2 separate regions of the Mus musculus genome follow, and region 1 is reported to be linked to region 2. Evidence: microRNA targets listed by miRTarBase, many of them from high-throughput screens and not tested one by one. Region 2 holds a microRNA gene; the other region holds the end of a gene's coding sequence.

Region 1 (4,067 bases), not on the chromosome of region 2:
ATACCTCCATGTAGCCCAGGCTGGCCTTGGACTCCTGCCTTCCTGCCTCAGTCTAGGATTACTAGTGTGTGCCACCACACTGGTTCTGCTGTTGCTATGAGACAGGCTCTTGGGATGTCTGAGTCCAGTCTGGCCTCAAACCTGCAATCTTTCTGCATCTGCATCTAGCAAAGATGCTCTGAACTTCTGGCCCTGCCCATGTCTGGACTCATCACGATGTGATTTAGAAAATCCTAGTTTTAGGTTGCCTACCTAAGCCATGGAGATGCTATGCCTCTTATTATAGCCTCTCATAGATATACGGCAGGGAAATTACTTGCCTGGGATACTGCCAAGCAGGACAGAGCTGGGACTGACCCCCCAGGGGTCTAAGGCTGATAGCACTCCCTGTCCTATAAGCAAAACCTCATGATGTGATTGTTTGGGAAGCACTAACTACAGATCACCTGTCATTCAAAATGGAATAGTCCTGTGGGAGCATCCCCAAGGTTGTGGACATGTCCACTATCTATGACAGTTCCTACACTGAGCATGCCCAAAGTGAGCTGTGTGGTTCAGGGCCTGGGGCTCATCTACTAAGACAGCAGAGAGCCAGACCACTCTTCACTGTGGTCTGCCCTCATGTCCAAGAGGGAGCTGGATCTCTGCCAGGATGGGGAAGCCATGCTTGCCTGGCCCGGGGCTGCACTGTGCCATTGTGCCTTCACCCACACATGGCCACCTGTAGAGCTGCTGCCACAGCGGGAGGCTCACTTTACTTCTTGCTCTCTTATTTTAAAAAACATCAGGGCTGGAGAGATGGCTTAGTGGTTAAGAGCACTGGCTGCTCTTTCAAAGGTCCTGAGTTCAAATCCCAGCAACCACATGGTGTCTCACAACCATCTGTAATGGGATCTGACGCTCTCTTATGGTGTGTCTGAAGATAGCCACAGTGTACTTAGGTATAAAATAATAAATAGATCTTTAAAAAAAGAAAGAAAGAAATATCTTCAATCACCTTAATGAACTAAAAACCAGTCTTGCTCACCAAAAACAAAGATGGACAAAAAGATAGATTTAGTGAGACACAAGCAAAGCATAGACAGGACTCCAGCTCATTTTTACACAGGCATTAAGACCAGCTACAGCCAAAAGAAAAGAAAAGAAAAGAAAAGAAAAGAAAAGAAAAGAAAAGAAAAGAAAAGAAGAGAAGAGAAAAGAAGAGAAAAGAAAAGAAAAGAAAAAAAGAGAAAGATAAGTCGGTCAACAACTGGAGGAGAGACCCTAGGTCCTGCGAAGGTTATATACCCCAGTATAGGGGAATGCCAGGACCAGGAAGCAGGAGTGGGTGGGTAGGGGAGCAGGGGGAGGGGGGGAGGGAATAGGGGATTTTCTGAGGGGAAACTAGGAAAGGGGATAACATTTGAAAGGTAAATACAGAAAATATCTAATAAAAAAACACAAGAAAGAAAATATCTAATAAAAAATTAAAACAAAAAAGAAAAAAAAAAGAAAAAAGAAGAGAAAAATAAGGTGGTATGGTACATACCTTGGGAGGCAGAGGCAGGAGGATTTCTGAATTTGAGGCCAGCCTGGTCTACAGAGCAAGTTCTAGGACAGCCAGGGCTACACAGAGAAATCCTGTCTCGAAAAACAAAACAGAACCAAACCAGACCAGACCAGACCAGACCAGACCAGACCAGACCAGAACAGAACAGAAGAGACAAGCTGGAGCCAAGGTTGTGTCCACTGAGTGCTCTTCCTGGCTGGTCTGTGGCTAGTGGTATCCTGTGTGTCTCAAGCTGGGATAAGGACCCAGGTACACACATCGCAAACTCTGAACCCAAAGCACAGGGGCTGTGGAAGGAGCATGTGGAGGCATTTTTTCTGGGTTGTTCTGGTGCCCTTGGAGCCTTTCCTGTCCAGAGCTTTTCCCACGAAGTACCCTGAGTTGTGGGACCCGGAATGGAGTCAGGAAACAGTGAGCAGATTCTCTGCTGTTGTTACCCATGGGCAGCATAGATAAGCCATTGAGAGCTCAGACCTTGGTTAAATCATTCATTCAACATTTATTGAGCGCCTACTGTGTGCCAGGCACCGTGCTAGGCGCAGAAATACAGAGATGCATAAGATACAGTCCATGCCCTTAAGGATTCACAGTCTAGAAGGGGAGACAAACATGTAAACAAGTAAAGTACGGTGTGATAGGTGCCACGAGAGAAGCATTTACAGGTGCAGAGGTAGCCTGGAAGAGAGGGGTGAAGGGTGCCTTCCTGGGGGAGGGGCCTGGGAGAGGCTAACAGGTGTTTGCCAGGCAGAGGAGGCGGCAGGAGCGGGAAGGCATTCCAGCTGAAGAAACCGCATGAGCGAAAGGCACAAAGGCATGAAACTGCGAGTGTCTTGGGGCCGGGAAGGCTAACTAGTCCGGTGGTATTGCTAGAGTGAGTTCCAAAGGCTGTGCCTGGAGAGGGCAGCCGAAGCCAAATGAGAGGGGAAACTGAGGCAGGGGCATCTCAGAGGAACAACAGAGGGCACTGCACAGCCCAGTGGAAGGCTCTGACACAGAAAGATGTGGCTCCTGGCTAACTCACCTAAGGTGTGCTTGCAAAACGACCATAGTGCTCCTGTGGCCACAAAGGGCCCTTGACCTGAGACCAGAGGACAAGCAGATCTGGAGGGGGATGAGCAGTGGGGTATGGCCAGGCCTGAGGTCCTGGAAGCTGCCACTCACTGGAGCTTCCTATTCCCAGACCTCTGCTATCTGCACACTGACAACAAGAGGGCCCTGGGATCCAGTGGGAAATGACGTGGGAATGAAGGTTTTTGGCAAACTGCAAAGAGCCGGATGAGTACCAGGCTGGAAGAAAGTCAGCCTTTAATGACTCAGAGAGGAAAGGGGGTGAAGATAGAGCAAGAGAGGTTAAGTGAGACAGCAGGCAGGCAGGAATTCCTAAGAACAAGGGCGGAAAGGAGAAGCAGGTCTCTGAGGCAGACCACAGTTCACTCTCCCCTGGGAAGGCAGGCAGGCCCTTATGACCCGGGACAATGGCAGACCCAGAACAGATGTGCGTGGTGTGTGGCTCTGTGTGCCATCATCCTTTGACTCCCTGGCCTGAAGCAGAAGATTCCTTGGCAACCAGGAACCTCTCTCTCTGGCCTTCAGGACATCCACTGAGGCAGGGATGGGCCAGAACCAGGCTTCCAGTCCTTAGGTGTTCTTAGGAATGGCTCTGCCTGGCAATGTCTTAGCAAGGTAGGTAGGGTGGGACTTAGAGTCTCAGTCACCCAGAGTCTGGCTGCCCTGGTTGATGACCACTTTCCCAGGCACCACACGTTAGATCATTTTTGGGGTGAGCTTCCCCTACAACCCTGCATGGGGGAAGGTGGAAGATAGACTAGCCTGGTCAGGACTCTCTTCTCCTGGGTTCTAGGGCTCTAGTGGTGGTGTGGCCTCTGGAGCAGGAGCCAAATGCAGCCTTCATGATCTGGCGATTGGTCCATGAGTGGGGGAGGGGAGGCAGACCCTCCAAGGTAGCAAAGTCTGGAGACGTTTCAGTTGCTTCCTTCCTCTTACCCTAAACACCACCTGTACTGTGTGGGGTCTCAGCCTCCCAGTGCTTCCTCCTCTAGGTCCCATTGCCTGGGCTCTGCCCTCCCTGGCCAGTCTGGAGGATTAGTGCTGCCTAGGGCACCAATGGTGGTGGTGGTGGTGGTATTAGTGATGAAGAGGATGGTGAAGTGTGGGTGGTGGGTGGCCTCCCCTCTGCTGGGAGACCCTGGATTGGGGTGGGCGAGGGTTATTATTCACTTGCTTTTATGCATGTCCTTCAGGCGGCGCAGCTCCTCCAGGAGCTGGGCCCGGGAGCAGCCGTCATCACTGGTGGGGCCTGGCCCTGGCCCCAGAGCCTCCTGTAGTTCCAGGCAATGGGTTCTCAGGAATGGGTTGTAGGCGCGTTCCTCTCCCAGGGTGGATGGGCACTGCAGAGCAAGAGGCACAGGGATGGGTGGGTGGATAGAAACTGGAAATGCAGGGATGTCTGCCTACCCCATCCCACCCCACCCCGCCCATCCCCCAGGTCTCACTGTGC
Region 2 (4,067 bases):
CCAAATTCAGGGCTAACCTGAGCTATAAGAAGGGTAGAAAAGATCAATTTAAGTGAATTGAAATGTTTGCCTTTGTGTGTGTTTGGAGGTACTTTATTTTTTTCCTTCATTTCATTCTTAGGGAGCTGTTTAGTTAGCATGAATAGGTGTCATTATCAAGAAGGCTATACTAGTGTGTTCATCTTAGATGAGTTCTGGCAGACTGTAAGATAATGCCCTTCTTCGTTAGGAGGGTTTATTATGAAGTTGGTAGTTGGCAAGAAGGGTGGATTGGAGATTTGCATTTCAGTGGCTTGGGACCATGACAGATACTAGGGAAGGAAAAAACAGAACATTTCCATGACTCCTTTTGGCCCTTTGCTTCAGATGTGGGATCGAGAGGTTGCTGAGGAGTTTTTGAGTTTGTTTGCTTTTCCTTGTTATGCTATTGTCAAGGATTTATAGTACGTACCTGTTTAGTTTTTCCCCAAATTCTGCTGTTAAAGTTTTACTTTAGCAGGCCACAGGATAACTAACCAGGGCTATACAGAGAAACCATGTCTTGAAAAACAAACAAATTGGGCTGGTGAGATGGCTCAGCAGTTAAGAGCACTGACTGCTCTTCTGGATGTTGAGTTCAAATCCCAACAACCACATGGTGGCTCACAACCATCCATAATGAGAAACAGATAATAATACTTTTAAAAAACAAAAAACAAAAACAACAAAAAAACCTATGGACTGGAGTGAGTGGGTCCCGGGAGCAAGTGGGGCCCAGGAGCAAGAGGAAGAAGGGAAGGGGGGAAATGAATGAATGAATGAATGAATGAATGAATAAATAAATAAAGTAAGAAAAACAAATTTATCATACCTCTCACTTCAGCCATAAAGTGATCTATTTTTAAATACATTTCAAAAATTACTTTCCCATATATACTTAACTATATCACTCACTTGAGCTTAGTGGTTTTGTTTTTGTTTTTTTAACCTTAAAACTTTCAATAAAGTACACAAATCATATGGGAGAAAAAGTGTTGATTTTTATTATTCAAAGGAAGGGGAATAATATCAGACTTGAAGAGAAAGTCCACTTGTGACATTCTTTTCAGCTCTGTGTTCACTACCTACCTATAGTAAATTCAGGCTTGAGTATTCAGGCTCAAATTCGGATTAAACTATTCATTAAGCAGTGCAGTTTTGATTTCTAAACTAAAACCCATAGGTAACATAAAAATCAAGCGACTGGATTATAAGTGCCTGTAAAAAGAAAAACAACAACAACAACAACAAACAGTGCTTAGGGCCTTTAAAAAGATCATACAAGTGAATGATGGGCTGACCTTGTGGACCACAGAATGCCAGTTGAGACTGCTGGCTTTGTCCTGAATTAGCCAGAGGATGGTGGTTTTACAACTTTATGGAAGCTTTGAAACCAGAACAAGCAGAAATAGTGGTGAGTAGGGCTCAGATGTCCTGGCCTAGAGCACGAGATATGTGTATCTCTTTCGTTGATTTCTGTCCAGCAAGTCTGATATAAATTGAGCTGTTCTTATTTTTAGCTCTAGACAAACCTAGAGATTTTTAGTACAGTCTAAAAGTCATCTCCTTGGGCTGGGGCATAGCTCAATGGTAGAATACCTGTCTAGCTTGTGTAAAGCTCTAGGTTTAATCCCAGACACTGGGACTAGGGGATAGGAGAGGATCATGTCCTTTTACTTGAAGGATAACAGCCAAAAGAACTAGATTCTTCCTAGGCCAGTTTTTAACTTTGTTTTTCTTTGTTACAGAGGAATGATATTGCCATGGCAATTACAAAATTTGATCAGTTCGACTTTCTCATCGATATTGTTCCAAGAGATGAACTGAAACCTCCAAAGCGCCAGGTGAGCTGGGAGGATTTGCTCAGCTGCCACCTCCAGGGCCTGGGCAAGATGCTCTCCGGAGCTCCTCCCTCCCTCCCACCCAAAGCATTTCTTGTTTGTGGTTCTCTTCCGTAGTCCAGATCATCCTCAGCATCTCCTTCTACTCATTTATGGGTACTTTTAACTCAGTGCCTCTGGGGTGGGGTTGCAGTGAGAGAACAAAGTTAAAAAGACTAGTCACAGATAGTGGGGTGAAGCTCAGTTCAGGATTTCTTCATCTAAAATAAAAGCTTTTTCAGCCAGTCAGTTTTCAGATTCTAAGAAACAACCTCTTTGTGCATAGTGATCAGATTGGAGCCAGTGGCTTTTATTTTCTTACTCTATGCTGTGTCTCTGTAGTGTGATGACTCTACCCATCATCCACTGAGTCAGAACCTATGACCCCATGACCCCAGGAATCAATAATTAAAGTTCCCTAGATGCTTTGGTGTCCAGTGAAGTTTTAGAACCACCATTTACATTTTTCTTTTTAATTACAAGAACTAAGTGTCTGCCCTTCTTCTGCCTGTTCATCTCCAAAGATCACACCATTTGTTTTGTTCAGCACTTGGGTGCATATAACTTAGTTGTGATTGTGATAGACCCCAGTCCTATAGAGCTCATTGTTTCAGGCACGCAGTTTGCATGATTCACTAGGTTTAGTGTAATATGCCTCAGAGAAGTAAAGCCATACCATGTCCTGCTTGTTTTATTTTTGTTCATAAAATATAAGTGTTTTTAACTAATTATTTTGTAGTATACTGTTTAGAGTCATTTAATGACAACCATTCTCCCCATGTTGACCTGTACAAATAACCAGTCAGAAAACCTGTTGGAGAAGTGGGCATCCTAATTGACATTAATTCTGACCCTGCATGAGGGTTTTTGGGTTAGCAAGCCCTGGGTCACCTCCTTATGGGAGCAGGTTGTGCCTCACTGAAGCTCTTTATTTTTCTGGGCAGTCTTTGCTACTGTAAACATCCTTGACTGGAAGCTGTAAGGTGTTGAGAGGAGCTTTCAGTCGGATGTTTACAGCGGCAGGCTGCCACAGTCGTCCCCGGCTGCGCTCATCGGCTTTGAGACATTGCAGGTTTGTGCCCATGAACTTGTCTCCTTTTCTTGGGTTACTTCCTTTCTCTCTGAGAAGTCACAAGAACTCAGACTGTCTCTCTTCGTTTGGAGCTGATAATACCATGAGCCTGTTTTCCTTATTGGATTTTTGCTCCCATGTATCCACCAGGAGTTTCCTTTAAAGACAAGGTGGTAAGATCTGTGATGCAGTCAGGCATTGCTCTTATTGTACTGATTGTTCACTATGGGCTGCCTGCTGAATAGATGACTAAAGAGAAAGTTATTATCCTATACCAGTGGTTCTCAGCCTTCCTAATGCTGCACCATTTAATACAGTTCCTCATGTTGTAATAACCTCCCAACAATAAAATTTTTTTCATTGCTATTTCATAACTGTAATTTGCTACTGTTATGAATTTTAATGCAACTATCTGTTTTTCAGTAGTCTTAGGTGATCCATGTGAAAGGATCTTTCCATCCCACAAAGGGGTCACAACCCACAGGTTGAGAGCTGCTGACCTATACCTTCCTCCAAAGTTGTTTGTTCTTCTGGGTCTGTCAGGGTGTTAGATTTGCTGGTGGTCTACCCCATCTCCCTCTTTTGTTCTTTGGTTTGGTTTGGATTTTTGAGATAGGCTCTCCCTGTGTATCCCTGGCTAGACTAGACTGTGTAGACCAGGTTGTTCTGGAACTCGGAGAGATCTATCTGCTTCTGCCTCCTGAGTGCTGGGATTCAAGGCATGGACCACTATACTTAGTCCATCTCCCTTTAAAAGGTATACAGCAAGAACACTCCTTTAGCTGCCTGGTTTTAGTTCTTTGTAGGTGTTTGAGCTATTGATTGGCATCCTATTCAGGACAGCTGCTGCCTGGCATTTAAAAGGTTGAGATTGCTGAAAGCTGGCCTGAAATTCTAAGATAGCATTTTTTAATTCTCTGTAGACATGAAGTTTTCCCAAGCTCCAAATTGGCTGGCACCTCCTAAAGTCCTTTAAAAGTGCCTACTCTCCAAAACACACCCTCTGAAGGAGGCAGCAGTTCACCCTGCCACTAAAGCAAATGTATTTTTTCCCCTAGTCTGGAGCTGGCTGCTCATCAGTGTAGTGATGACCCTGT

What was found. Region 2 holds the annotated microRNA mmu-miR-30e-5p (UGUAAACAUCCUUGACUGGAAG, at 2,853-2,874, shown strand). A microRNA usually pairs through its seed, bases 2 to 8, with sites in the 3' UTR of a target mRNA and lowers its output. Matches are read on the target gene's strand: a 7mer-m8 pairs with bases 2 to 8, a 7mer-A1 pairs with bases 2 to 7 and ends in A, and an 8mer does both.
Region 1: miRTarBase lists Pnkd as a target of mmu-miR-30e-5p. Seed matches in the 3' UTR shown: 8mer at 2,160-2,167.

The regions. Positions count from the first base shown.
Region 1 is chr1:74,351,648-74,355,714 of GRCm38, reverse strand. Pnkd (paroxysmal nonkinesiogenic dyskinesia) reads right to left here. Exons shown (of 10, transcript NM_001039509.1): 9 at 4,063-4,067; 10 at 2,023-3,957. The coding sequence ends at 3,784. Among named protein-coding and RNA genes, the nearest start is that of Catip, 8.5 kb to the left of the region's middle.
Region 2 is chr4:120,771,467-120,775,533 of GRCm38, reverse strand. Mir30e (microRNA 30e) reads left to right here and starts at 2,837; the gene lies at 2,837-2,928. It overlaps Nfyc (nuclear transcription factor-Y gamma), which reads left to right. Exons shown (of 10, transcript NM_008692.4): 5 at 1,767-1,862. Mir30f (microRNA 30f) reads right to left here and starts at 2,928; the gene lies at 2,837-2,928.